3 linked regions of the Lonchura striata genome follow. The protein of the gene in region 1 purifies or fractionates together with the protein of each later gene. This does not show direct contact. Links are inferred from orthologs where the notes say so. Each region holds a gene or a part of one and is shown in the gene's direction. Other genes may lie near its edges.

Region 1 (9,606 bases):
CTGTTTATTTTCAGTGAAATAAAAGTCCTCAGTAAACAGTAGGCACCAAAGAAAGGTGCTTTGCAGTTCTAGGTCCTTGAAACCAATTTGTAGTTCAGCAAACTTCAGTCTTTTCTTGATGTATGTTCACCTTGGTTTTGGTGAACCTTCCTTGCTATTTTGTCAGTCTCTGGTCAGTTTCTGTTACTGTTCTACTTTTTAGAAAACTATCAGCCTTTCCCACGACATTTTTTGCATGTCCTCTACTTTTCTGGCAGTATCATATTGCCAGTGGTTTGGATAAAGGCTACAATTGTTTCAACTTGCCTGGTAACATAATGTCACATTTTAATGGTTTCCTACTGTTAAATGACAATGACTCTGTGAATGCACATTCATACCTGTACGCTCTGAGAACTCAGCCCAGCCTCTTAGGAGAAAACATATTTGTCTCAAATAATATCTCTGAGTTTTATGAGTAGCATGACAATCGCACCCCACTATGCTTGCTTATTTTATCAACAGTGAAATAAATGTTCTTGCATTTTGGTTTTGGTATGACTGATTTGACATCCTAAGAGGAATAACCAAGGCCCAGAAAAACACACAGAAAAACTCGCTTTACAGAAAGTATATAAATGACTAAAACATCTGTTAGAGGCTTAGCATTTCTTTAACTTCAAAAATAAAAGTTATTGTCATTAGGACTCACATAGTTAACAAAATAGATGGTACAAAATGGCACAGAAAATATATTACAAAAATTTGTAGAATCAGTGTTTTATGCAACTGACAACTTCCTGGTGTTTTCTGTTGATTCCTGCTTTTATCTTGCACCAGTTCATTGCCTCTTGAACTCTAAATTTTTTGAGCCAGCAGTCTTTTGAAGCACAAGGCACAGTTCTGTTACTGTGTAAATAGTGGAAGTGGACTGGAGGGCTGAAGATACAGTATCTGCTTGAGAGTGGATACAGTTGAGAAAGAAGCTCAATTTCCACTACTCATCCCTTTCCAATTTTTTTCCTCCGTCACTGCCAGGGAATGGTGGCTGTTTCTGGAAGTTTGTCAGTACTCCTAGATTCAATCATCTGTGCTTTGGGCCCGTTGGCATGTCTGACCACACAATTGCCTGAGTTGAATGGCTGCCCAAAGCATGTTTTGGTGAGTTCTTTGTGGTTACTTTCTTTCTAGCACTGTGAATTTCAGTAAAGTCCAAATAGAGCTTTTTTTGATTAATCAGTGTAATATAATTATAATTCCAATGCAATAAGAGAATTTGTCTTGGTCATGGGCTTTTACGGAGGAATGTTTATTGAAATTCTTACAGATATTACCGTTGTACAATATTGTGCAACCTTTCTTTCTCCCACTGGCAACTGACCTAATATTTGTAGCATTCATTGCAGTGCGGGTAGGTCCTGTTTTAGTCATGATGGAGTCAATCAATGTGACTCAAATAAAAGTAAACCAGTATTTTCAAAAGTTCTAATTTTCCATAAAATAAAGCCCACCTTCTAGCTGCTCTTTATCACACAAGCTGTTTTTCCTTCATTAGCTTAAAAAACAGCTTGTGATCTCAGGATTCCTAATGTGATGGTGTAGGACCTTTTACAAGTGGCTGAAACCTTCTCTGAGCAAAGAAAAATAATCTCTGTCTTAAGGAGCTGCATAACTACAGTTTCTTTTCTTCTTTAAGCTACTCTTCATATTGAGCCCTGATTTAGCAACAGCTCATGACATCTGTGTAGCCTGATGTGAACATAGATTAAGATGGCAGCAGCCATCATGAGTCACACTTCCTACAGGAGACGTGAATAAAGCAGCAAAGGAGAGGAGCAAAAATTAAAAAATACAGTCTGCAAAAGTTAAGAGACTAAAAACATATCCAGCAGAGGGGGCAACAAAAATGAGATATGAATTGACATATCATAATAGGGCAGCCCAAACGTTTATTCATTACAAGAATGGACTATCAACAACAGGAACAAAGTTGACAGTTTAGTCTGTGAACACCCACAAACTGGCTCTGTGCACAAAAGCTGAGTCAGTGGGGTGTTCCGATCTTAAGCCATGGAAAAACTGATGCTTTTTTTCCTTCCTGCTTGCCAAGTTTATTCAGAGCAGTTACCACATGACCAGTGGTGTGTTTATTAGAAACTCGATCAAGTTATTGTTATAAGGAGAAACAGAGCTTTAGGTGAATTATGGCAGTTACGCTTCACTTCTGGAAACCCTGTTCAAGAGCTGATAATCTGATTTTCACAGTCAGATACATAATGACAGTGGTGTTCTGAGACACGATAAACCCCAGCAGTTGTGCTGCAATTTATATTTGAGACAGTAGGTGGCATTGTAAATTCTAAAATCACAACTGGTGCAGCTCCACCTCCTCCATCTCTCAGTTAAAGGTGCTCCTCCTAAGGCCTCCTCAGCTATCTAGCCACGGGCTTGATCTTACTGAAACACTGCATCTGAAAAACATACAGCTGGGTCTTTTTTTCTGATGGGCATGAGAAGGATTCTCAGAATTCTGTTACATTTTCCAAGAAAAACTGAAGGGCACTTCTTTTTGCCATCTGACACCCTATTAAAGGTGATCAGTAGGCAGCTTTGGTTATCTCATCCTATGATAACTTGTAACTCAACTTGTAACTGCTTAGTACCCTCACCTATGCCATTTTTTAAGGATTTCGAGTTATTACCTGATGCTAAAAAAACACCAAATTTCTTTTCCTAGTCAAACACACTAGACAACATTGCCTACATCATGCCTGGACTTTGATGGGAAAGGATCCTGGGATGTACTCAACCTCTGCGTAACTGACTTGTGTATGTGCACTATGCCAGCGCTCCCGAAGGGCTCCATGTGGAGGCTTTTAAAGTTTATATATGTACAGTATATACATAGGATTGTAACTATTTGACTTCTGTTTTATAAAAAGTTGTGAAGTTAAGCTGAAAAAACCCTTTTGTGTTGGTGGGTGAAATGTCCTCCAATCTGAAAGTATTTTGTATGAAGAATTCAGCAAGCTTTTGAGATATTTGCCTTAAATTCAGATTTAGTGGGGGAAACAATCAGAGAATGGACTTCCCGATATAAACAAGAAGGAAAGTCACCATGAGAGGGGTCACTGAAACAGGTGGCCCAGAGAGGTTCTTGACTTGCCTTCCTTGAAAATATTCAAAAACTGAACGAGCAGCCTGCTCTTGTTGGACTTGCTTTAAGAAGGGAGATGGACCAGATGATCTCCTGATATCCCTGCTAAAACAAAAGTATTCTGATACTCTGTGGGCAGGGAGAGATGATACATTTTGGACCAGGGAATAGAACTGAATTCTTCACCAGCCCTATTTGTAACTCTTTCTGTTTAAAACACACTTATAGAGGGGAAAGCTGGATAGCTTTTTGCCTCTTGGTCGCTTTCTCCAACCCCTACTCCTCAGACAGTAATAACTGAAAGTTGACATTATCAGCTGGCTGGTCTGGTATCTGGTATTTGAAGTGAAGTAGATGACAAGAAGTTTATTTTTTTCTTATGGACTCATACTCAAATCATCATTAGCACAATGTATCAACCCATTGCATTGGCTTGAGAAAATGAACCTCCTGCTGATTTTTCCATGGCGTGATTAGCGTACTTTGATGGAAAGGAGTAGAGAAGCAGATGGGAAAAACTTGGATTGCTTCTGCCCATCTTGCACCTGTTTTGTGAAATGGCTCATCCCCCATCTCTCTCACCAGCACTATTGCAGGAACTGTGGTGCTGCTTCAAGGCAGTGACCAGTGGCCAGTTTGAAGCAGTAACGGCCAAGTAAGGCACATGTGGGTTGATTGGACTGGTTTCTCTTCTTTCCAGCCACATACCTGGAGTTTGGTTTTCTGCTCCTCTGGAAGAGGAGCAGCAGGAGAACACTTGATTCCTGTTTAGGCTTTTGTCTGTGTGTATGTATGTGTATGTGGTGTTCATATCACATGTATTTAACTTTTACCAATATCTGTAACAGATTTTAATTTATCCTGTATATTTCTCTGTGTGTGTGTGTATATATTTATATATATATACATAATTTAAAAGCAAAAATTCCTCCCTCAGCCAACAGTGCGTGAAAAATGTGAATCAAGTTTTTTCTCAGCACACTTCCTGCAGGAATCAACTCTATGTATAGTAGTAAGCATGGGCATTGTGTAAAGAAGCACCAGGAAGATTCTAAGAGTTTGTAGAAACATGCTATCTTGTGAAGGTGGGCAGAACAACTGAAATATTATTTGACTCAGGCCTTATCACCTCTGTAACAGGAAAGTTTTGAAATAAAAGAAGAGGCATTTTTTACTTCCAAGTAAATCTAGCTTCTGTTTCTTAGGACAGTTGAAAGTGAGCTGTCCCTCACTGTGGCTGAGCCCCAAATCAGAAGTAAATTAAATCCTGGGGTGTGGAGGGTTCTTCTCTCTATGCCTCTTTGCCACGTATTGCCCAGATGTGCCTGTATAAGGTAGTCTGTCTCTTACAGATCTTTTCTCAGTGCAGTGAGGGGTTTTCTCAGCAGAGGAGGCACGGAAGGTTCTCAGACCACCAGGCCAGAACCCATTTTAACAGCTTAGGACAAATCCCAATGGGCCTGGAAGCAGGAAGGGCCCAGGAGGGAGGCAGTCCAATCCTGCTTCAGATCCTGGCCTAAACTAAAGCATCTGCTGTTGTGAGCAGCACAAAATAACCAGCTCTTTCCAGCCCTTCAGAGTTGAGAGCATTTTGGTGAAGAGGTAGATCTGCTTTTGAAGAAACAGAAGAGGATCAACTTCAGCTTTGTCCTCTGTACAACTGAAAACTCTTGAAGAGTGAAAAACACACAGGACCTGGTGAATTGTATTTTTATTAAAATTTGTACACTTTGTATAATCTGTATCTTGTGGTATTTGGTACTGTAGGGAAACTTTGTCAAGACTTAGCAGTTTTTATATTTTTGTTATTTCTTTGCTGTTTGGTCCAGATTACATTACAATTATACACAGACTTTTTTGTACTGTACTTACAATATAATTTTTTTTAAACTTCTGGAGTACTGTTGTTTATTTCTGGCATGTGCTGTTTTCTGCAACTGTTGTTACTACTTGGTGTTTCTCAGCAAAACACATCCAATCCTAACCCTCCTAAACTCACTCACTTGGCAGGCAAGCTGTTTCCAGCAGCACCAGTCACCCAAATTATCGCTCGGGTTCCTGACTGCTTGGGACCCCCCAGAAGGGAGATGTAGCATGGAGCACTGCAGGTAACACCAGGGCATTTGTCTTCCCTGCCGCCTCACCTCAGTTCAGCCTCATGGCATTCAGGTGACACCAGTACACGGGACTCGAGTGTGTGATGCAGGAAGTCAGGCGTGGCAGCGTTAGAGCGAGATTTGTGCTGGTTATTAACACGTCCCCATTTTCCAGGTATGGGTGTTGGCTGATTGCAGCCTCAGCTTGGGCAGGGCAATTGCTTAGGCCAGGAGCACATCCCAGAACGTGCCAACCACCCTGTGTAGAGTCACGGGATAGTTTGGGTTGGAAGGGACCTTAGATCATTTCCAACACCCCTGCCATAGAGACACCTTCCACAAAAAATTTGCGCAAAGCCCCATCCAACCTGGCCTGGAAGACTTCTAAGGATGGTACATCCACAACTCGGCAATCTGTCCCAGTGCCTCACCACCCTCACAGTAAAGAATTTTTTCCTAAGTCGTACCGGGAGTGTCGGGAGTCCTTCCTACTCCCACTGGGCTATGGAAAACGAAAAACTCATCCCCACGGGCTTTCCAGGGCTTTGGCATCGCTCAGGCTCGCGGGTGCTGTGGACGAGCTCGGCGTGGCTGCAGAAAGCGGCGGAGGCTCTCGGCGGCGGGAGCCCCTCGGTTCCTGCGGCCGGGGCTGCGGGCCAGCAGGACCGGGGACCCGTCGGCCTGCACACACCGCCCTGCCCGGCAGCCGCGGCACGCCTCTCCGCCCGCGGCACGGCGGGGCCGGTCCGGGCGGCGGCCGCTGGCGTCACGGCGGGGCCCGGCGGGCCCGCCCCGGCCGGCGCGGGTCACGTGAGCGGCGGCGGCGGCAGCGTCAGCTGATCGCGGCGCGGCGGCGGCGATGGACTTTCTGCTGGGGAACCCCTTCAGCTCCCCCGTGGGGCAGCGCATCGGTGAGAGCCGCACCCGCGCCCCCCGACCCTCCCCGCGCCCCCGCTCGCCCGTCCGGGCCCGCGCTCCCGGGGGCGTCCGCCGGACCCTTCCTCGGGGAAACGCCGGCCCCCGCCTCCGCGGCGGGACCAGCGGCGCGCTGGCCAATCAGAGGAGAGCTCTGCTCTGACTGACGGGTGCTGCCGACCAATAGCGGGCGCGCAGCCCGAGGCGGCTCCGGCGGGGGCCCCGCCAGCCAATCCGGGCGCGAGGGGGTCTCGGGGGTGGCGGGGTGAAGTTTGCGCGCTTAAAGGGGCCGCGGGCCGGTGGTCCGCGCCACGCCCCCCCGGCACCGCCGAGCCCCGCGATTGGCTTGGAGCCATTCCCGCACGCGCCTCTCCGGGGGCTTCGGGGTGCTGCTGATTGGCTGGGCTCCAGCCAGGGCAGCCTATCGCGTCCGGGCGGGAACGGGGCGCGTGACCCGCGGCGGCGCGAGGGGCGCCGCGAGACCCCGGGGCTGAGGGACGGGGTCAGTGAGGGCTGCGGGGACAGCGGGGCTGAGGGGACAGCGGGGCTGAGGGACGGAGTCAGTGAGGGCTGCGGGGACAGCGGGGCTGCGGGGACAGCGGGGCTGCGGGGACAGCGGGGCTGAGGGACGGGGTCAGTGAGGGCTGCGGGGACAGCGGGGCTGAGGGGACAGCGGGGCTGAGGGGACAGCGGGGCTGAGGGGACAGCGGGGCTGAGGGACGGGGTCAGTGAGGGCTGCGGGGACAGCGGGGCTGAGGGACGGGGTCAGTGAGGGCTGCAGGGACAGCGGGGCTGAGGGGACAGCGGGGCTGAGGGGACAGCGGGGCTGAGGGACGGAGTCAGTGAGGGCTGCGGGGACAGCGGGGCTGAGGGGACAGCGGGGCTGAGGGGACAGCGGGGCTGAGGGGACAGCGGGCCTGAGGGACAGGGTCAGTGAGGGCTGCGGGGACAGCGGGGCTGCGGGACAGCAGCCTCAGGCTGGGCTGCCCTGGGGTATGCAGCTTGCCCAGTCAGAGCAGTGTCCCCTGCCCGAAGGACTCAAGCGCTGGGCAGCTGGGAGTGTTTGCCCGCCCCGAGCTGTGGGACAAGCGGTGCCTGGCAGGGCCATGCCCTGGCTCCTGCAGCACGAGCTGGCTCACAGCATGGAGCACCAGCTCGGGCAATGAACAGCACCCGCCCTGTGTCCTGGCAGGCCCACGGGCACTTGGTGTCCTGCAGTCCCTGTGCTCAGGGCAGTTTGGGGAACGTGGGAGAAGGAGGTGGCCTGAGAAAGGAGAGCAAAGATGCCGCACTTAGAGAGAAGAAGACCGTCAACAGCTGCACTAGTGTCAGAACAGGGCTGCAGTTCATAAAATGCTTAGAATGAAGACTCTCTGTTCTCATGTTGTGTTGCCTGGGGGCCTTGAAGTTATGCTTGAAGGCTGATGCCCATTTAAACTCTCCACTTGTACGTTTATGCAGTTGCTCATTCTTGCTGATCATTGCTTGTCAGACCTTTGCTATTTGCTGTGAACATCTGGTCCCACATTCAGTCTTTTTGGTGTCCTTGCATAGGTGAAGAGGAGGCTGTGCCAGGGATGGAAAGAGTGTAAGCAGCTGCTTTAAGTCATGCTTTTATTATAATGATTTTAGAACCTACCCTAACACTGTCCCAAAGTGTGTCAGGGGTATTGTGATGTGCCACTCTGCTGTTGGGACTGATAGGTGAGATGCATTACAGCCAGGCAGTGGAAGGATCATCAGGGAAAACTGTTATCAAAATCCTCCAGATAATCTTCAACATACCCTCAGAAGAACATCACGTGTTTCATCAGACATTCCAGGAGAAACCATCTCCTGCCCTTTCCTGAATGAATGCTTTTTGTTCCCTCAGTGAGTGTATCAGATATGTCCTTGTGTTTGGGTAGAGGCAATCTGAATGTTGCCTCACAGATCTTTTGGTCAGTTTAGCAACCAGATTGTAAGTGGGTTATACCTTTAGGCTTTGTTTCAATTAAATAAGGAATTCCCAAGCAACAAACCAAGCAGCAAAGAAGAGGAAAAAAGAAAAGATATTTCAAAAGTGTTGTCTGAGAGGAGCTGAGAAGCAGAAGTGTGATACTAGGGAGATCTTACTGACTGGGGGTTGATTTGGGTTATGGGAGTTCAAAGAGGTGGAGGAATTACAGTGTATGAGAAAGGAAGCCTGTGGAGGACTTGAAAGGGGTGTTGATTGAAAATATTACTATTTTCTCCTTTTGAACATTGCCTATCAACATCCTGGGGATGTGGATAAATGCTATCTTCCCTGCTTAATTTGGGATGCAAACATGGCTCCCCCAAACTCGTTTGGTAGGTCTGTGGCAGCTGCGTGTCCAACCCATGAGCCTGATCACAAAACCTGCACAGTGCTATTGCCCTGGGCTGTCTGCAGAAAGATAATGCTGTGCCCTTGTAAATTATTTGGGCAAAGTCATGTATGCTTGATACAGCTTATGAAGTCTAAAATAGCTTTAGATGAAGGCTAAGGGAAAAAAAAGTCCTCTGTGGCCACTGCAGTAACGTTCTCAAATTCCTTCATTAATGTTAATCTAGTAAGACCCATTTATTTTGCTGACTAGGAAAGCAATGCTCAGATAATCTCAGTGATCTGTCACAGAGTGAGTCAGTTGCAGAGGAGTAGGTTTTCTAGTTTCTTACTCACAGTTCTGAGATTTAGTCACAAAAGTTGCCTCTCCTGTTTTTGCACCATGATGTCTCTTCCCAAGTAAGAAGAATACAGACTTGCTTGTTTGGGGGTTTTTGTATTTGTTTCTGTTGTGTGGTGGGTTTTTTTAAACACCAGTGGGAAAATTTTCAAAGAGTGATAAAGCATCATAGTTCAGATTCCCCTCTGAAAAGGGAAATCCACTATGCCTCCATCTAGGATCTAAGAGAAGCTTTTTTCCATTTTCAAAATGGAAAATCTAATTCCAAGGAGGTGAATTGTCTCTGAGGGAGAGAATGGAGAAGAAACCATGAATGCTTTCTCCTCACCCTGGAAGTCTAAAATAACTAGTAATTATAGCAATACCAAAAGGGACAGAGGCAGGTTATTTCAGTGAGTGAGAGCAGTCAAGGGATAGAAGTAACAGTGTAGCATGGAGATGTTTTTTATGGATTGGGGTTATTTTAAGCATGAGGACCAGGAAAAGTTGAGACTGTAAAGAGAAAGCAAGTAAGAAAGGCTCCTGGGTGAGGAAGAGAGGCAGATGCAAAACAATATACCAGAAAAATCCCTACAACCTTTTGGATCCCACTTTGCAGGTGTTCCTGCACCCCTCTGTAGGTCCCTGCAAGGTTGTGCTTCTCAAAAAGGCATTGCCTTGTCTTCTGTGCCTCCTCTGTCTGGAGGAAAAGGGGCAAAGGCAGCAGTTGAAGAGTCACTTGATCCCTGAGAATTTGAGCTGATTCACAGGAAAGGAGCAGGAGTTCAGAGAC
Region 2 (10,027 bases), on another chromosome or scaffold:
GGTTCCAGGGGGGTTTTTTACTGGCACCTCTGCGAGCAGATCCTGGCTGTGAAAAACACCAATCGCTTGTTTTTTAAAATCTTAGGAGTTTATTAGTCATAAAATAGTTATTAAGAATAAAATGAGAGTAATAAAAATTTGGACAATAAAGATTAGGACATTAGGAGACAATAAAAAGCAAAGAATATGGACATCCGGATGTTTTTTGGCACTGAGCTGCCAAAACCAGGCCTTGTGAGCAAAGGAATAACCGTAAAAGCAACAGCCTGTTGACTCATACATGATCCATAAAATCCTTGCAAATTAAGAACTTTTCTGGTTTTTTTCAACTCCTTCCCCTTAATCCTGGTGGTTCCACAATAACAGAGAGAAGGTGGAAGGATGTTTGTCTTTTCTGATAAGGAGGCTGTAACTCTTCAGGTTTTGTGTTGCTGTTATCTCTTTGTGAAGAGTTTCTTGATTATCTTATCCCTTTTCTTGAGCTACTAAAAAATATCTTATATCACAGAGTTCCTGTTTTAACATTATTTTATAACCTCAAACTATCTTTAACACACTACTTAAAAATGATTAATACAGTATTACAAAATATAGTATTAACATTTGCGAAGAGCCTATCATAAAATATGCATTTTTCACCCTGGCCTCTGGTTTGCTTTGGGTTTTCAGCTGGCAGTGCTCGGAGCCTGCACCTGCAGCCCTGCTGAGGGGCAGCCCTGTCCCTGTGCCAAGGTGGCAGCTCTCACTCGGAAGCAACTCCTTCATCTCAAGCAGCAGGTGACAAGGCTGGCAGGGTGGGGACAAGGAGGGGGTGCTCCTGCACCAGTCCAAACCAAGCCCAAAACACCCAGGCACTGCTCTCACAAACTCTCACAACCACAGTGGATCTCAGAAATACTGTGAAGTTTGTGATGCTTGTAATGCCATCATTTTTGCTGGTAGAAAAAAAAAAGTGATTATATCTACTCAGCTTTACTAGTTAAAAAAAAGAAAATTGCATTCTTTTCCCTTCTCCCCGTATTTTTTATATGAAAAAAGAGAACATGCCCTAAGGGTGTGTCCCCCATGAATGTGCACACTGTGCACGTGGACTGGCACTGAACCTTCCCTTCCTTCCTGGCAGTGCCTTCCACCCCTCCCTCGTTGGCATCAGCACCCACAGCCCGCTCACTCAGCTAGGGCAGCAGGCTGATCTTGCTAGAAATACCTATTTATCTCTCACTTAAATCAGTGACGTGAATTCCAGGCTCCTATTTTTTTTCTATTAAGTGAAATTGTGCAGATTTAGGATTTCTCTTCTAATCTGTATTTGACTCTGCAAATGTGGTAGCCATCCTTGTGGTCCTGCTGCAGAACTTCCAGCTGACCAGCCGGTTTTGAAAATAGGTGCTGGCCTGTCCCTTATGATCCCTGATATGGATTGCAATCTCTTGCTCCTTTTTCTCCAGGCCTGGCTGGAGGAGACATTATTTTTCTCCTTGAGCTCTTGTACATATGCAAAGATAAATAAACTCAGAGATTATTGTGTAGGTGGCTGGGGGTGTGAACATGTGCAGACAATGAAGAGCAAGGACTTCAATACACATTTCAAAATGCATTTCTTTACATGCCAGGAAAACCCTTTGGTTCCTGCTGCTTCCTTGATTATATTTACTTGCAAGCTGTCTGCGTCTTAATATTCCTTTCAAATCTGTTTTGCTTCCAAAGCAGCTAACGCGCTTTAAATTTCCCCTGACTGAACCCCAGGTGGAGGATGTGAAGAAGAGCAGGGAAGAGGCATATCTGGTGGCGGACGCCTTCCGGACGGCGTTTGAGCAGCAGCTGGGGCAGAGGCAGGAGCAGGCCCTGCGGCTGGCAGAGGCGCTCGGCGTGAAGAAGGGAACCAGATCTGGCAGCTGGCGGCGGCAGGGCGCTGGTAGCTGGGCAGTGCCTGGGGCTGGCTGGTCTGGACACGTGCTGGGGGCTCAGCTGCTGCCCGGGCTGGTTTAAGGGCTGCCAGCAACTGCTCTGTCTTTTGGGTTTTGTTTTTTGTCAAATTAGTTCTGCAGAAGAGGTGGGGAAGGCGAAGAAATGCAAAAAAAATTTATAGCTTGAGGTTTTTTTAGCTCCAAGTGGGGCTTGAGCAGCCTGGTCTGGTGGAAGGTATGGAGCAAGATGAGCTTCAAGGTCTCTTCCAAGCCAGGCCACTCCATAATTCACTGGAGTACTAAACAGTTGTGGTTTTTTTTTTCTTAAACCCCTTTATCTTTTTATTATGCATGTGTATTGATATTTCTGTTTATTAGTGTTCTTACACTAATGCAGAGTTACAAAGCCCTGTGTAAAAAGAGGAAGATTTCCAATCTGTAAAGTAGGAGTAATTCTAACAATCTTCTATTATTAAAAAAAAAAATAGAGGGATAATGAGAGGTATTTGAGTGCTTACATCATGGTCAGAACCACTGCAGGCTTTAGGAATGGCACAATATATTTGTTTTGACCATTGGCAGGAGCTTAGAAGTGTGATATGTGTCTCCCAAATTCCTGGGGCACTCCTGGGGTGTAGCTCTACAACAGCACAACCTTGAGTGTCTGTTTCCCCTGTACTGGCCCCATTGCTTTCAGGCTCCATTACCTGGCACATCTGTTCCGTAATTTTAATGTATTTTACCATTCCTGGAAATCTTACAGACTTCTATGTGGCCAGTGTCAGAGAATCTTTGGGGTTTTTTTTCAGCTACTTAGTGTTTAAAAACAAATTAATTTTACCATTCCTGGAAATCTTACACACTTGTAGGTTGCCAGTGTCAGAGAATCTTTGGGTTTTTAAGGCTACTTAGTGTTTAAAAACAACCTGCTGTGAATTTTACCATTCCTGGAAATCTTACACACTTGTAGGTTGCCAGTGTCAGAGAATCTTTGGGTTTTTAAGGCTACTTAGTGTTTAAAAACGAACTACCGTGAATGATTGTTTACCTAGAGCGTGAAAAGTGTGTTTTTCACGGAGCAAATTCTCAATTTGCCCCCGTGCGAGGTCTGCGCAGCGGGAGCAGGGAGACGTGCCGAGCTGCGTCTGGTGTTGCCCTTTTCTCTGTGACTGCTCAGCTCCAGTTGAGCAGTGCTGCTCTATCCTGAAGCGGTTTCCCCTCCCGGAGCAGCTGTGCTGACGCGGTTGTGTTTTCCGCAGAGGGCGGCGAGCCCAGCCTGGGCCGGCGGCTGTCCGGCCTGCTGCGGTCAGCCGGGGACGGCAGGAGGGTGCGGGAGCTGGACGACGCCCAGGAGCTGCTGCGGGTGCTGATAGACCTGGTCAGTGCACGGCTCTCCCTGCGGCGCGGCGCGGCCGCGGCGCGCTGGCGCTGAGCGCTCTGCTCTCCGCTGGCAGGTGAACGACAAGGAGGAGGCCCTGGCGCACCAGCGCAAGGTCAGCTACATGCTGGCGCGGGCGGCGGAGCCCGGCCAGGCCGGGCCAGGCTGGCGTTGGCTCGCGACCCCCAGCCCTGCCCGCCCGGCTCGGGCGGGAGCGGCCGCGGGGCCGCCGAGGCCACGGTCCTGGCCCTCTGCGCTCCGCTGAGGAACGGCGCCACGGCCACGTGGAAAAGAATGTTCTGGAAATACCAGGAGTGGCCATGGGGCCGCCGAGGCCACGGTCCTGGCCCTCCGCGCTCAGCTGAGGAACGGCGCCACGGCCACGTGGAAAAGAATGTTCTGGAAACGCCCTCTGCGCTCGGCTGAGGGACGGCACCATGGCCACGTGGAAAAGAATGTTCTGGAAACACCAGGAGTGGCCATGGGGCCGCCGAGGCCACGGTCCTGGCCCTCTGCGCTCGGCTGAGGGACGGCGCCACGGCCATGGGGAAAAGAACGTTCTGGAAACGCCCTCCACGCTCGGCTGAGGGACGGCGCCATGGCCATGTGGAACAGAACGTTCTGGAAACACCGGGAGTGGCTGTGGGGCCGCCGAGGCCATGGTCCCGGCTCTCCGCACTCGGCTGAGGGACGGCACCACGGCCATGTGGAAAAGAACGTTCTGGAAATACCGGGAGCAGCCGCGGGACTGCCGAGGCCATGGTCCTGGCTCTCGGCTGAGGGACGGTGCCACGGCCATGTGGAAAAGAACGTTCTGGAAACACCGGGAGCGGCCGCAGGGCCGCCGAGGCCATGGTCCTGGCTCTCGGCTGAGGGACGGTGCCACGGCCATGTGGAAAAGAACGTTCTGGAAACACCAGGAGTGGCTGCGAGGCCACCGAGGCCATGGTCCTGGCTCTCGGCTGAGGGACGGTGCCACGGCCATGTGGAAAAGAATGTTCTGGAAACACCGGGAGCTGTGTGTGCTGTGGTGGTGTCACTGCGGGGATGATGGCGCAGCGTGGGCACAGGGGCGGGAGTGGCTGTTTCAGCGGCACCACTGGGAGCATGTGTGGGCTGCGCTGGCAGTCCCTGAGGGAGTGGCGGTGACGTCACTGCATGGGGTGACATCACTGCAATGGTATGATGTCACTGCAGGGGTCTGATGTCACTGCAGGGGCGTGATGTCACCAGAACAAGGACAGACAGGTCTGCACAGGCAGGGCTGGTGCCAGTGACGTCTTGCTGTGGAGGGTGTGATGTCACCGGAATGAGCAGGGCCTGGGTGGGGCTGGTGGCACTGCAGTGACATCACTGTGGAGGGTGTGACATCACTGTTGGGGGTGTGACATCACTGTGGGGAGTGTGATATCACTGTGGGTGTGTGACATCTCTGTAGGGGGTGTGACATCACTGTGGGGGTGTGACATCACTGTAGGGGATGTGACATCACTGTGGAGGGTGTGACATCACTGTGGGGAGTGTGACATCACTGTGGGGGTGTGACATCACTGTTGGGGGTGTGACATCACTGTGGAGGGTGTGACATCACTGTGGGGGTGTGACATCACTGTGGAGGGTGTGACATCACTGTGGGGAGTGTGACATCACTGTGGGGGTGTGACATCACTGTAGGGGATGTGACATCACTGTGGAGGGTGTGACATCACTGTGGGGGTGTGACATCTCTGTAGGCGATGTGACATCACTGTGGAGGGTGTGACATCACTGTGGGTGTGTGACATCTCTGTAGGCGATGTGACATCACTGTGGAGGGTGTGACATCACTGTGGGGAGTGTGATGTCACCAGAACAGGCAGGGAGCAGGGCCTGGGTGGGGCTGATGGCGCTTCAGTGATGTCACTGTGGAGGGTGTGACGTCACGGTAGGAGTTGTGACGTCACTGGAACGGGCAGGGAGCAGGGCTGATGGCGCGGCAGTGACGTCACCGCGGCGCGGAGGGTCTGACGCCACGAGACCCAGGCGGGAGCGGCGCCCCCTGGCGGGGGTTACGGGACAAGGTGGGGGGCGTGACCTACACGAGAGGCCCCGCCCCTTTCCCCCAGGCCCCGCCCCGGTGGGGGTCAGGCCAGTCGGCGATCCGCCCTCATGCACTGTCAATCACGGACGCGACCACGCCCATGTAGCAATACCACGCCCCCTCACGCTGTCCGTCTGGCGTTTGGCCCCGCCCCTTCCTTGGGGCCGTGGCGGGGCGCGCAGGCGCGGGCGGGGCCGCGCAGGCGCGGGGTGGGGCGGGCGCGGCCGCGCAGGCGCGTTGCGCGCAGACGAGGGCCGAGGCCGCCGCCCGGAGCCGCCGGCGGGGCCGGGACTGGGAGCGGGACTGGGAGCGGGGCGGGCCCTGAGGGGATTCGGCCCCGAGACGGCCCCGAGCCCGCCGGGTGAGGTCGGGGCGACGCGGCTGTGCGAGTCTGACCTCTGCCTGAGGGCACCTGGGTGGGTGGTTCGCCCCCGGAGGTTTCTGCGTGTTGGTGGTGGTGTTGCTTGCTGCGGTTCCGCTTGTTTCTATATACGGCGTATCGAGCATGGGATATGTACAGAGAGCGCTGTGTGGGGTATGTGGAGAGTGTATGTGGTGTATAAAGTAAAGTAGACGAGGTTATTTGGCAGGTTGTGCAGAATACATATATGGCACATAGAGCGGACAGTGGTGCACCGCACACTTAGAGAGTGTAAAGCACTTTGAGTCTGTGTTTAAATCCGAGCAGAACCGGTCACTGGCAGCCTGTGGGCAGTGCGGCAGAGGGTCCAGCCGGCCGCCAGCGCCGGTGCTGCCGGTGCCGGGTGGCGAGAGGCGAAGCCGGGCTGGTGAATAACGCAGACCGCGGGGAATGGGGTGCGGAGCGAGCAGCGCTCCCCTGCCTGCCGCGGTCCCTTCTGCAGAGCTTTCTGTGCCCGCATGACAGCCCCTGCCTGCTGCGAGTCAGGGCCGCTCTGCCTCCCAGTGCCGCCTCCAGGCTGGCTCACAGCAGGAGAAAGAGAACAATCTGCTGGAGGGGCCCAGGGAGGCACAGGGAGGATTCGGGCTCTGCAGCATCTCTGTGCCGGGCTCGGCCCGGGCGGGCTGGAGCAGGGAGCCGAGGGGGGATCCCGTCCGTCCGTCCCACCCCTCCCAGGCTCCCTGGGACAGTGCCAGGGAGGGCTGCGGGGTCCCTGTGTGGGACATCCCAGCCCAGCTGGACACGTCCCCGAGCCCCTGCCCAGGGGAGCAGCTCCAGAGGAGCCTTCCAGCGCTGCAGTAATTGAGGCAGTCCGCGATTCTCTGGGTGCTGTGAGCAGTGCTGCTCCCAGCTCAGAGGAGCAGGGTGGATGAATGAACAGAAATCCTCAGAAGCTGAAGGCGATGTGGGATGGAGCTGTGCGGGTGTAATGTCATCACGCTGCTGGTGGAGTTCTGCCCTTCTGAAGAGTCCATGTTTCACTCACAGAATAGCATTCCTCAGACAAGACAGCTTGTTGTGCTCTATCCTGTAAGCTTGTCCTTATATATCTGAAAACTTCAACAGCTTTTGGTTCACCCCATGGTTCAGCTCCTAAACCTGCTGTGGCAGCAGCCACCTCAGCTTTTGGTTTACACAGTAAGTTGTTCTGCTCAGCAAGAATCATTCTTGTTTTTATTTAAATTTTTCACACACTGTTTGTGCAGTTGTGCTGAACTTCATCAGGTTGATTGCTGATGGGCTCTGTGGTCAGCTGTTCCCTAAAACTTTTTGTCATTAGGGCTTCAGGCCTGTGTGTGGGTTCATGGGTGTTAGGGAGGGGGCTGAGAAGGAAAAAGCTGGTAATGAATTCCTTCAGTACCCTTGATGCTTTTTCCTTGGTCTTAGAATTGTTAGACATGGGTAAGGGATAAAAAGGTTTTTATTTTGGTATTTAATTAGGATTTTTATGGTGTAACAATTTGTCACATTGGGCTGTACCAAAATGCAAACTGTAAAATTTGCATGTACCAAAATGCATACATATGGTAGATGGTGTATACAGTTTTATAGGTTTTGTAAACTAGTATATTTAACAAAGACATTTCAATGAGAGGTTTAAATAAATAGTGTGATTATTTTAATGTATTTTTTCTTAGATGGGCGTAACAAGTGTTTTGGAGGGGTTTCTCAAGATAATGTTAGGTTTTCTGGCTTCTGACTGTGAGGCTTTTAGAAGTTTGGTCTTTTGGCTTAATAGAATACCAGGATTATGTTAAGGTATTAGGCTTAAGGAATTACAGTTATATTAAGGATACTGAGACCTCATAAAAGGTATATAAAAAGAAAAGACAAAAATCATCATGGCAACACCCATGTGCAACACCAGTGAGGGAGAGGGGGCACACAGCAGTCCATGAGTGTTTCACTGTGAGCTTGGTGCTTAGTGCCCATGTTTATATTGGAGATTTTGTTCTGCCTGCGGTGGTTGCTGGGGTGGTAAGGTGGAAAATGCCATTTCCATGCTTCCACAGTCCTTAGCTCAGCTTTCTGCTCAGGCTAAGCATAATAATTAAACACTGTGGTGGAGCTGGACATAGCCAGCGAGCCAAGGGACTGCAGCTGTGGTAGTCAGAACTGAGGTGGTGGCCATCCTGTGGTCACCTCTCTGGAGGGGAGACCCCTGTGCCCCTGCTTGTGTGTTCCTTTGCCTCTAAAGCCCAGCTTGGGCTCTTCTGGTATGTTTTGTGTAGAAGCAGGCCTGGCCTCTGCAATGGGGATTAGCTGCAGCAAACTGTGGGTGTGGTGGTGCCCATATGTGTGAACACTAGAGAGTGGTTTTCAGGTGTTCTCAGACATCAAAAGGTAGCTTGTCTTCAGACCTGCAATGGGTTGGTTGGTAATAATTAACCTATCCATTCTGTTTTGCAAGTTACCACCACTGAGAGCTGTGAAGTGCCTCCTTTTACAGAGTGTATCTGGGAAAAAGCCCTGCAATCCATCCTGTAAGTTGGCCACCCCCAGCAGCCTCGTGTTATCTCCTCCTTGAACTAAGAGTGTGCAGAGAAATCCCCAGTGCATGTTGGTTTTGGACTCTAGAATGTGTGTGCCTGTTCGGTTAGAAGGGATAAGTGATTTATGAAGGATTTTAAGGAAGTGTTGAGGTCTGTGACACATTTTTGAGCACCCTGTCACGCTTGCAGTCATCGAGATCTCAGGATTTGCATTCCACAGTTAATAGTTAACAGTTTTAATGAGGTGGAACTATTGCCTCTGTCTCTTAGGTCTGTGTGGTGCTGTGCTGGGAGTGTGTCAGACCATTTGTTGGAGATCTAAGATGAGCCTGTTTCGAGGTTTATCTGGAGAAGTGACATGTCCAGTGTGCACTTTTTTGTAGTACCTTTTGTGCTTAGATGATTATTTTCCCATTTTGAAGCAGACTGCTATTTTACCTTCAAGTCTCCTCCTACGTAAATATTTAATCTATCTTTATCTGAAAGCATATGGTCTTTAATAAACAGTGATTTAAATATAATTTTAAAGTTTTTTTGAACTATGAAATGGAGTGGTGAGAGCCTAAAATTTTATGTCTCCTTGCACTATTAGGGACTTATTGCCTCAGATAAAGTTATAAGCATATGTTTATTTTTAAAGAATACTAATCTGTGAGCCAGTTTAGAGTGTGTCTAGTGACTGTATTCAGAGCTCTAAAAGACAAATTCAGAAAACACAACTGTGCCTGGCTAAAAAACGTATACAGAGGTGGTGCTCCTGGTTTCTGATAGTTAGAATGCAGTGTAATTCTTCCGTTACAAGTATAAGCCTTAAAGGAATATGCTCAGAGCAAATGCATTTCGCTAAAGCACATGGTTCCTCCAGACCCTCCACTCAGGGAAGCAAGCAGCCATTTAATAAAAATGTGTCACCAGAGCTTTTTCATAGCTTCTAATCCAATAATGTAAACACTGCGACAGGCTGCAGGCAAATCCAGGCAGCAGAAAATAAAACTTGTTCCTCTTGCTGAAAGAGGATTTGAAACATGAGAAACTAGAAGGCTTTTACAATTTTTTGGTGATGCAGACACCAAAGTTGGGACAGGGGGGTACTGCTGCTCTGCCCTGTTTTGGGGGTTTTGATTTTGTTGTGGGTTTCAGATTTTTTTGCTTGTAGGTCTATTGTAGAAAGATGAAAAACCTATGAAAAGTTTGAGGAGAGTAATGAAATTAAGAAAAATACACATGCTAGTTTTTCAACGTTAGGTTAGTACTTTACGAAATCAAATAACCATTTTATTTAAAAAATAGATTTAACTAAACAAAGCAACATTGCTGGGTTGGTAGACTGAGGTATGATAGTTTGTTGAGCTCTCTGTAGAAGTGAGCTGATCTGTATTAAATAGATGTAAATATTGGCATATGGTTTTAGTTCTACAGTTCTTTTCATTGAGTTCTTCCTTTTTCTGGAGAGTTTAGTGGGCCAATGCTGTACAGCATCAATGCACCCTTCTAATTAGCATTATAAGCTAAAAATAGTGTTGTTGTCTAATAATGCCCTTATGCTTAAATGAGAAGTTGTTGTGTGACTCAAGTGTGCAACACTGTGAATATTCTCTAGGCCTTTTTAAGTAAAAGACAAAGGTAGATGAAATAATTACTGGCCTCCCGTCTGTATTTTTTTCAAATGGGGAAGGTTTTTGCTTTTTATAAGGTTCTGTTGTTTTTGATATCTGGTGAGGTTGTATAATAAATACCTACAGAGGACAC
Region 3 (9,407 bases), on another chromosome or scaffold:
ACGGAGGGCTGGGGACACCAGCAGCAGGATCCCAAAGGGCTGGGAGCACCAGCAGCAGGATCCAGAAGGGCTAGGGAACCCAGCAGCAGGATCCAGAAGGGCTAGGGACACCAGCAGCAGGATCCCAAAGGGCTGGGGGACCCAGCAGCAGGATCCAGAAGGGCTGGGGGACCCAGCAGCAGGATCCTGCTGCATCCCGGCACTGGGGGGAATGTGGGTGCAGCCCTGCCTGGCTCTCACAAGTGTCCCCCCAGGTTTTAGAGGGTGGTGTTGGTTTAAGAGCCAGCTGGGTGCCGTGCACGGCCGACATCTGGTGGGCTCACAAAGGGCTCCCATAAATCTGTCCGGGAGGAGGGTGGTGGGAGAGCAGTGGGTGCCCCGAGGCTGCAGCTGCATCCCTCAAAGGAGGATCCTGAGTGTTCAGAGTGCTGCAGTGGCCAGGGCTCCCCAGAAAAGCTGTCGGTGAGACCACCTAGGCAGGAATGCTGACGTGTTGGGATTGGGATCACTCCCTGGCTCTCCCAGCTCCTCTGCACTTGCCCTCGGAGCCAAGAGGGGAATTTCCTGTTGCAGAGAGGTACGTGCTGCACAGGTTCCCAAGCAGGGCTTACTTGTGCTTGCCTCCTTGATTGCTTTTGCTTTTGAAAAGGGCTTAAACCCAGCCATTTTAATACTTGGTAGAACAAGTATTAAAGGAGATCCTCAGGTGCTTATTTGTTTCCATGAAAAAGGATTTGCTGGGACCAGTTTTCCCAGGCTGTAGGCCCAGGAGGGGTGCACAGCATCCCCTGAGGCAGAGAGGAAGGTAACAAGGAGATTTAGGAGAGACTGGTAGGGCCCCATCCTGCACATCCTTGGCATGTTTGGTGCTAGAGAATAGCATCATTTCTGTTCCTGATCATATACTTTTCATCCTAATTTCAGTCCTATTATAATCACATATGCAGCTGCTCAGCAGTCACATTCCCAGACTTCTCGTTCCCACATTGAGCAATCCCCTTGCAGGGGCCTGGCTACAGCAGAACTCAGCACATCTGCTCTGGACAGAGCCATTCCTTCTAGTTTAACATCCTTGAGTTTTGAGACTTCTTCCAAGAGTCTTCCCTCCAAGAACTGGGGGAGCTGTCAGCCCTTTTCTCCAAATAATCCTGTGCGTGGAAATGCTTCTGCACGTGTGTTCTGCATCCCCAGCTGAGGCACCACAGGCCTGGGCTTGCAGCCACCACGGGATGAGTGCCCTGAGGGCTGGGGAGTGCGGGGCTGGGGGACCCCACACTCGGTGGGGTCACCCCTGTCCTGGCTGCAGAGGGGGGTCCAGGCTCCGGCGCGTTTTTGGGGGATCCGTGAGCACAGCGTGGCAATAGCAGGGGAGAAGGGGCTGGGCAGTGTTTGAGCAATCCCATCTGCTGTCTGAGCCACAGCAGACTCTGGGGAAGAGAATATTCTGGTCTGCACTCGGTGCCAAGGCTCTTCCCCGAGCAGGGAGGGCTGGAGCCGTCGGTCCCGGGGATTTTCCAGCTGCTGGCTCCTCCGGCGGGGCTGAGCTCCGCGCCCAGCCGAGCAACTGCTGCTTCCAGCGCCACATCCCCGGCCTGACCCACCCCCGGGATTATCCAGCTGCTCTCCCGGGCAGCTGAGGCCGGCAGCCTCTCCAGAGCTTCCCCTCGGGCCGGGGAAGAGCCATTTTTGGGAGGTGCCGAGTGCCTGCTGGGCTGGGTGAGAGCAGCCGTACCCAGGCGGATGCCAGGGGCACAGGAGGATGTTCTGCCGGGCTGTGAGCATTATCCCTGACTGAGCTCTCCTGGTTCTGCTCTTGTCCCTGGCTCTGCCAAGGGTGGCTCCGAGTTGTGCGGGTCACTGGCAGCTCGGGTGGCAGGAGAGCAGGGTGAGCCCCTGGGCTGGCAGCGGGGAGCTGCCCCCCAAGGCCAGCTTGTGTTTGGTTGTATTTTATGGGTTTGTGTGGTGAGCCAAGGGCAGGGGCTGCAGCCAAAGGTGTGCAGTGAGACAGCAGTGGTATGGAAGTGTCCTGTGCTACCCTGGCACTGACACCAAAACACAGCATTTTCAGTGCCAGCCCTGTCCCAGCATGTGGAGGCACTTGGGAAAAAGCTGGTGTGGTTGTGGCATTGTGGCAGCCCTTCCTACCCCAGTGCTGCCTCCGTGCCTGGCCCCAGCCTGGCACGGGATGTCACCTGGAATTTTCTCCGTGGCACAGGTCACTGCCAGGACAGCCACCCCTGCGGGATGCTGAGGTGGCTCAGCTGGGGTGAGCCAGGACCAGGCTCTGCCAGGACAGGAGGATTTACCCTGTGCTGCCAGGGCTGGTGGTGGCACAGGGGCAGTGCCAGCATCCCTGCTCTCTGTGACCCGCGGGACAGGGACACGCAGGCCAGGAGCTTGCAAAGCCTTTAAGCTCCTCCTGTGATGGGCGCAGCAGAAGGGAGAAGGATTATGCCTGTGCCTGGGTTTGGTGGATGAATAACAGCATTCAGGGTCCTTCTGCGGATAGCAGAGCGGGAGCTGTTGTCAGGCAGGAGAAAAGTTGGTGAGGCAGCAGCCAAGGAGTCACCCCAGCCTGGTTCTGCACAGGGGCAGAGAGCAGAGGGGCCCAGCCTGTGCCCGAGTGTGCCTGTGCCCACGCATGGACTGCAGGCACACGCCAACTTCTTCTTTCCTTTTTGGGAAATCCAACGGATTTTGCTTTTCCTGGCGTCTTCCCAGCCCCTCACTGACATCACAGAAATAAGGGCCAGGAACAGGTTCAGCCTCTTCCCCAGCTGCCCCCCGGGTCCTGCTGCCCTCCCCGCTGCTCACCTGAGCACTGCTGCGGGCACACAGGAGCTGGGGGGATCTGGAGTACAGCTGCCTGTTGGTCTTCAAAACAACTCCTGCCAACAGGGCCACTTGCTGCTTTTCCCTGGATTTTAACTCATGCTGATGTAGTGATTTGCATTTCTTTGGATTAGCAGCAGGACTTTGAAAAATGGGTTTAAAAGCCTTCGGGGCATGTGAACTGCCCTGGTCTGCCAGCCCCGAATTCCTGGGGTGTATCTCAGGGCAGGGAAGGTCCCAACACATTCCCTTGGGGCTGTTTGAAGCCAGATGTGCAGTGGAGCCTTTCTGGTGTGAAATATCTTGTCCCCATCCCTAATTTTGTTCATCTTCTGACCGGAAGATTTCCATGGCTCAGCACGTTGCTGTGCTCAGTGCCACTGTCCAGCCCTTGCAGGGAGCTGTCCCAGACTCTGCAGTGTTGACTAACACCTCCCCTGAGTTGGTGTTGGCAGCAGGAGCCCAAAGGGCTGGCAGGGGGATTGCCAGTGCCTGGCACAGCCAGGTTACAGGGAAGTCTTTTAATACACACTCAAAAGTCAAATGCTGGGAGACAAAGATTCCCCAGCCCAGGTACTTTGGTTACTTTATGGAGATCTGGAGAATCCCAGCCTGATTTTGGGGGTTATTTTGCTGTTTGAGGTTTATGGGCTGGCACAGCATTGGTTCTCCTCAGAAGCTCTCATATCCATCTGTGGATCATGTGTGTGTGTGTATCCAGTATAACCCGTGTTCTCATGTGTGTCCAGGCTCCTTCCCCATCCTCTTGGAGTAGCCAAATCTTGTAAGGAGGTGTGTACCCTGTGAATGTGTTACAACTCAATTTAATACGTGACCAAAGCAGCCATGCAATATTGCAATTAAAGCCTAATTCCAGAGGTGTGAACAATGCTGGCTCTTCACTGGGAATGTGTCAGGGGAGCGGAGGAGGAAGCGAGCAGCAGTGTTTTATTAATTGACTCCCGTGGATTTATTTGTCCTCAGTGAATGGAGCCGGGCAGAGCTGTCGGAATTGTTCCTGCTCTGCTCGCACAGCGCTGCTCCGTGCCTGCCTCCTGGCAAGCTGGTCCTGGGCACTGAGACTTACTGGGATGGAGACAGTTCCTGCCTGAGTGACCAGTTAGATGGGTGTTATCAGTGAGCAGGAGTGAGCTGGGGGCTGCTGGTGCTGTTTGGAAATGGCCCCTTGTGCCTGACAGTGATTCTGCAGCAGCTTTTCCCTGGGTCCTGTCCTGCCTGGGAGAAAATGCCACAGGAAGGTGGCACTGGATGGCCCTGGCACCGTGCACTGGTGCATCCAAATGCAAATGTTTCCAGGATTACAAAAGCCAGGGAAGGAGAGCAGAGCATGCCTGGAGCAGGAATCATCCCTGTGATTCCTCTGGTACCAAGTCAGAGCAGTGCTGTCCCTAGGGATGAAGGTGGGGGTAAATTAGCAGTGGGGCAAAAAGTGAACTTCTCCCCGAGCTCCCGCTGAGTTCCTCATGTATTACAAGTGTATTTGGTTCTAGCAGCCTCTGGAAGTTCCTTGGAGCAGCTCAGGGCTGTGGCTGGCACAGGGGCTGAGGGGACATGGCTGTCACACATGGTCTTGCTGGGCAGGGGAGAGCCCAGGTGACCTTCAGAGGTGACTGCTCCTCTTAATGGCTTGGAATCTGATTATACCATTTTGCTAAGAAATGTGCTTGGCACGTTCTACATTAAATACCATTTAGGGACAGTTATCCTGAACTCTCTGCCTGCCACTTAGGAAAAAACCCTTGAAAATGATATTATGGATCGAAAGTGTTCCTGAGGTAATTCTGTTTCAAACAGTGGAGTTAATCCAGAACTGAATTTGGCCCTGCATTTTCAAACGAGAAGCAGTAGCTGTATAATCTGTTTATGGTTTTAAAGTGAATGTTAATCTTGGATTTGGTAGCTTTTCCAAAAGGTCGATTTGCCGTGCTGCAGAGCATTTTAGCCCCCTCCTCTGACACTCTCTGAGCCGACTCCATGTTTTATTTTAAAGAGTGATTTTACTGTATTTATAAATACATGTCAAACCTGGAAACGTTAAATCTGGGCAGCCCTCAGCAGTGGAAGCAATGCCATTTTTCTTGCCTTGCATTTTGTTGGTGCAGATCCTGGCATGGCACATCCAGGCTCCGGCGTGCCAGGCCTGCTGCAGGGACGGCTCAGTCCCACGAGGATGCGGTGGGATGGGTGGGATGGAACCAAATGTCCTCTGCTGAGACAGGAGAGCCTCTGGGTGCTGTCCCTGGGTGCTGTCTCTGGATGCTGTCCCTGGGTGCTGTCCCTGGGTGCTGTCCCTGGGTGCTGTCCCTGGCTGACTGTCCCTGGGTGCTGTCCCTGGGTGCTGTCCCTGGGTGCTGTCCCTGGGTGCTGTCCCTGGGTGACTGTCCCTGGGTGCTGTCCCTGGCTGACTGTCCCTGGGTGCTGTCCCTGGGTGCCGTCCCTGGGTGCTGTCCCTGGGTGACTGTCCCGTGTCCCCTCCGCAGGTGGGAGGATGCAGCCGTGCGCCGGGGGCTGACGCGCGGAGCCGCCGGCCGCGGGGAGCGGGACCCCCGCCGCCCACCCATGGTCCCGGCTGGCAGCCGGGGCAGCCCCCGGTGAGGAGGGGCACGGGCACAGCCGGACCGCGGGCACCGAGCCCCCGCAGCCGCCCCGCCATGACGAGCCTCTTCCGCCGGAGCAGCAGCGGCGGCGGCTCCCGCGGCGGCTCCTCCGCCCAGGAGCTCAACAACAGCCGCCCCGCCAGGCAGGTGCGGCGCCTGGAGTTCAACCAGGCCATGGAGGACTTCAAGACCATGTTCCCCAACATGGACTACGACATCATCGAGTGCGTCTTGAGAGCCAACAACGGCGCCGTGGACGCCACCATCGACCAGCTTCTGCAGATGAACCTGGACGGCAGCGGCTGTGACGACAGCTCGGACTCGGAGGACAGCATCCCGCCCGAGGTAACCTGCCTGGGGCTCCCCTGTGTGGGTCACCGTGAGCGGGCACAGCAGCCCCATCCTGCCTCCTCCTGCCTGGCCACGGTGCTATTCAACTGCTGCAGGCAGGCAGAGGTTTGAGTACCCGGATTGGCTGGGCTGCTGCACCAAAGGTTGTCTTGATTGATCTTCAGGATCAATCCAAGTGCTCTCCCTGCTCTCCCTTGCCCCAAAACCCAACAGAGACCCTTCTGCTGCTGGCAGAGAGACTCCCCAAGGCTGTGTGCAGCATGGATAGGCTCAGCCACCATCTCCCCTTGAAAACAATACCTCCAAACTCCACCAAAACCCCCCAGTGCCAGCAGGTTGCCCCATCATCTGCAGCAGCATTCAGCCTGTGCCATCCCTGTTTTGCTGCTGCCCGTGGAGCTCTGGCCCACTGGGGACAGCATTTCCTGTCCTGCCCTCACCCCATCCTCTCACCCTGCAGATCTTGGAGCGGACCCTGGAGCCGGACAGCTCGGACGAGGAGCCCCCTCCCGTGTACTCCCCTCCTGCCTACGAGAGCCAGGTTTTGGGCAGCCGCTACCCCCGCGCCCCACCCACCCCCCCGCCCAGGTGAGCCCCAGCCCCGCACTCCGCTCCTGGGGCACCCTGTGCTAGCACAGGGCCCAGGCTGCCATCAGCCAGCCCTGGCATGGCCCTCTGGCCCTGCTCCGTACAGGGTCCAGTGAGACAAAGCCAAGGGAGATGAATGAAGCTCACAGCTGGCTCAAAAATCCCTGTGAGGCTCTAAAACACCAACAGCTGAGGGGCCGGAAAGCCGCTCCGGCGGCTGTGGAATGGCAAAAATCAGCTCCGGGGGCGGGCAGCGCTCGCTGCTGCTGCTGGAAAACACCAGGTGCTGGGCAGCCGGTCCCACGCACCACACACCTCGGCTGGCTCTCCCTTGGCCCCTGGCAGCACCGCTCTGGCTGGAGCTGTGGAGCTGTGGGTCAGCAAGTCTGAGCCCTGGGCACCTCTGTGCCAGCCCCTGCCCTCTGTGCAGCTGCGTGTGACACTGGGTGAGAGACGTTTGTCAGCTTTGTGGGCAAATCCCCGCAGTGCTGGGGCTCCACCAAGCTGCTTTTTGGGAGTCTGAGTGAAACACGGAGGAGAAGGAAAGCCCAGCCTGCAGAGTTGCAGGGCAAGGCTTGAAATGCAGCTCCCAAATATTCCAAACATTCTAGGAAAGCTTTCACTCTTCAGAGCCGATGCTAACGCTGCAGGCTCGGGGATGTGCTGGGGTTTTGTGGTTTCCAGCACTGCTGGCGGAGCTGGGCAGGCTGTGCTGTGCCAGGCCCTGTGCCACGCTGCCGTGGCAGCGCTGGGGGCTTTCTCCTCACCAAAGGTGCTCCTGTGCTCGCCCCGCAGGACGGACGTGCCCGGCCCCGGCAGCGCGGCGCACTACAGGAACTGGAACCCGCCGCTCCTGGGCAGCCTCCCCGAGGACTTCCTGCGCATCCTGCCCCAGCAGCCGGCCCGCGCGCAGGTGAGGCTTGGCCACCCCTTCCAGCCTGCTCTGTGCTGTGGCATGGGCACCATCCCAGTCCTAAGGCACCCTCAGCTTGCAGCATCAGCACGCTGGGTACCAGGTGTGGACTAACCCAAAAGTTTTGAAGTGTCTCCTGTTCAAGAGACTGAAGTGGGCAAGGTGTGAAAGAGCTCTCAGCAAAGCTTTGATATTTTTCCTGCATTATCCCAGTGATTAGTGCCAGAAATGCCACTTGCCATATGCACCTAATATTTTCAATTATTTGAAAATGTTTCCCACTGCTCTGGTGAGAAGCACAGGACCAGTAATGCTCCTAAGGAGAGCAGCATTGCCAGAGCACTTCAGGACAGCTGCAGTGGAATTTGGGTAGGACACCTAGTGCAAGCAAGAGGATTTGCCCCTGGGAAATCAGAGCCCACGTGTGCTCCGTGGTTGTTTTAAGCCACAAAGTTTGGGTGCCAGCAGCAGGGCAGGCAGTGGGTAGCATCCCATGGAGAACAAGCAGCCCCAACACATGCTGAGCATGCTGCTCAGCTCCAGACACAATTTGGGGCATCTTCTGGCCCTTTGCTATCACAGGAACCCCTAAATGGGTCCAGCACCCTCCTGGCATGGAGAGGGCTGGGGGGGCTGCAGGCACCCTGCTCCTCGCTGCTGTTTCGTCTGCAAAGGCAGCCTGCCACGTTTGCATGAATGATTGCCCTTCCAGCTGAGCTTCACGGGCTCTATTACCTTTCTGGGAATAGGAGCCTGCCAATTCATTTGGGCTCAGGGGGAGGAGAGGAGCAGCTGCCCTTTTCTTTCCCCAGCAATTGTGTGCTTTTGCTTTTTATGGCTCTCTGGGAGCAGCTACAAATCAGATAAATATTGTAGGCAGGGATGAGGCTGTGCCGCAGCATGCGGCTGTGCTGCTCCCCAGGTGTGAGGTGTGACAGTGCCTCGTGCAGGGACGTTTGTCAGCAGGACACTGCAGACTCTGCTCTTTGGAGATGGGAGACATGCTGAGACCCTTCTCGTACCTGCACACCTCTTACACCTCTGCTATGGCACAACCCCATGGTTTGGAGTTAAACATCCCTGCCAGCCTGTGCTCTGCTGGGGTTCCCATGTTGGATGTCTGTCCAAAAGGTTCCCATGTGGGATGTGTGTCCCAAAGGTTCCCATGTGGGATGTCTGTCCAAAAGGTTACCACGTGGGTGTTTGTCCCAAAGGTTCCCATGTGGATGTCTGTCCAAAAGGTTCCCACGTGGGATGTGTGTCCAAAAGGTTCCCATGTGGGATGTCTGTCCAAAAGGTTACCACGTGGGTGTTTGTCCCAAAGGTTCCCACGTGAGTGTCTGTCCCAAAGGTTCCCATGTGGATGTCTGTCCAAAAGGTTCTCCCGTGGGTGTCTGTCCCAAAGGTTCCCACATGGGTGTCTGTCCCAAAGGTTCCCATGTGGATGTCTGTCCAAAAGGTTCTCCCGTGGGTGTCTGTCCCAAAGGTTCCCATGTGGGTGTCTGTCCCAAAGGTTCCCTTGTGGGTGTTTGTCCCCCTTCCCAGGGGCTGGGCTGTCCCCCTTTGTCCCTTTTGCCCTGGGCTGTTGGGCGGAGGAGGGAGGCACCGCTCTGGGAGCAGCTCTGCCATCGGGGCTGGGGAGCAGGGCTGTGGCAGAGGGGCAGAAGGCCGAGCTGAGCCCGAGGTGCCGCTGCAGGGAGCCGGGAGCAGCAGCCGAGGTGCCCGTTTGCCTCCGCAGGGCGCGCGCGGCTGCCGGCAGCCCGTGGTCCCGCGGGGCCAGGGCTCCCTGGAGCAGGAGCGGCGCTGGAAGCAGTACCTGGAGGACGAGCGCATCGCGCTCTTCCTGCAGAACGAAGAGTTCATGAAGGAGCTCCAGAGGAACCGGGATTTCCTTCTCGCCCTGGAGAGAGGTGAAAGGGCCCTTTGGAAACTTCTGCTTTTTGGGTGTGTGCCCTGCTGTGACCCTGCCTGCTGGCAGCCCGTGGGATCAGGGCTTGTGCCAAAGCAGAGCCAGTACAGGATGTGACCGGGAAGGGGGCTGGGGGTCTGAGCTGCCCACACTGCAGGGCTGCTCCCTGGACTCCTGCTCTCCTGCCCCTTCCCAC

Evidence for each region.
Region 2: the proteins of TOM1 (region 1) and ZFYVE16 purify together in Homo sapiens (affinity purification with western blotting; 3 studies listed by BioGRID and IntAct, with this or other methods). This does not show direct contact. The link is inferred for Lonchura striata from reciprocal best matches to the Homo sapiens genes TOM1 and ZFYVE16.
Region 3: the proteins of TOM1 (region 1) and CUEDC1 purify together in Homo sapiens (co-immunoprecipitation; 3 studies listed by BioGRID and IntAct, with this or other methods). This does not show direct contact. The link is inferred for Lonchura striata from reciprocal best matches to the Homo sapiens genes TOM1 and CUEDC1.

The regions. Positions count from the first base shown.
Region 1 is NC_134607.1:22,432,975-22,442,580, forward strand, and holds the start of TOM1 (target of Myb1 membrane trafficking protein), read left to right. Parts: upstream 1-6,017; 5' UTR 6,018-6,091; coding exon 6,092-6,143; intron 6,144-9,606. Other genes in the region: HMGXB4 (HMG domain-containing protein 4), read left to right, coding at 1,018-1,140, 2,717-2,761.
Region 2 is NC_134642.1:86,166,902-86,176,928, reverse strand, and holds the start of ZFYVE16 (zinc finger FYVE domain-containing protein 16), read left to right. Parts: upstream 1-5,613; 5' UTR 5,614-5,726; exon of another isoform or gene 5,727-5,781; intron 5,782-6,847; exon of another isoform or gene 6,848-8,269; intron 8,270-10,027. Other genes in the region: CCDC125 (coiled-coil domain-containing protein 125), read left to right, coding at 670-777, 1,747-1,915, 3,167-3,285, 3,362-3,455, 3,552-3,811.
Region 3 is NC_134622.1:10,698,097-10,707,503, forward strand, and holds the start of CUEDC1 (CUE domain-containing protein 1), read left to right. Parts: upstream 1-5,390; 5' UTR 5,391-5,504; coding exon 5,505-5,795; intron 5,796-6,261; coding exon 6,262-6,389; intron 6,390-7,184; coding exon 7,185-7,302; intron 7,303-9,040; coding exon 9,041-9,212; intron 9,213-9,407.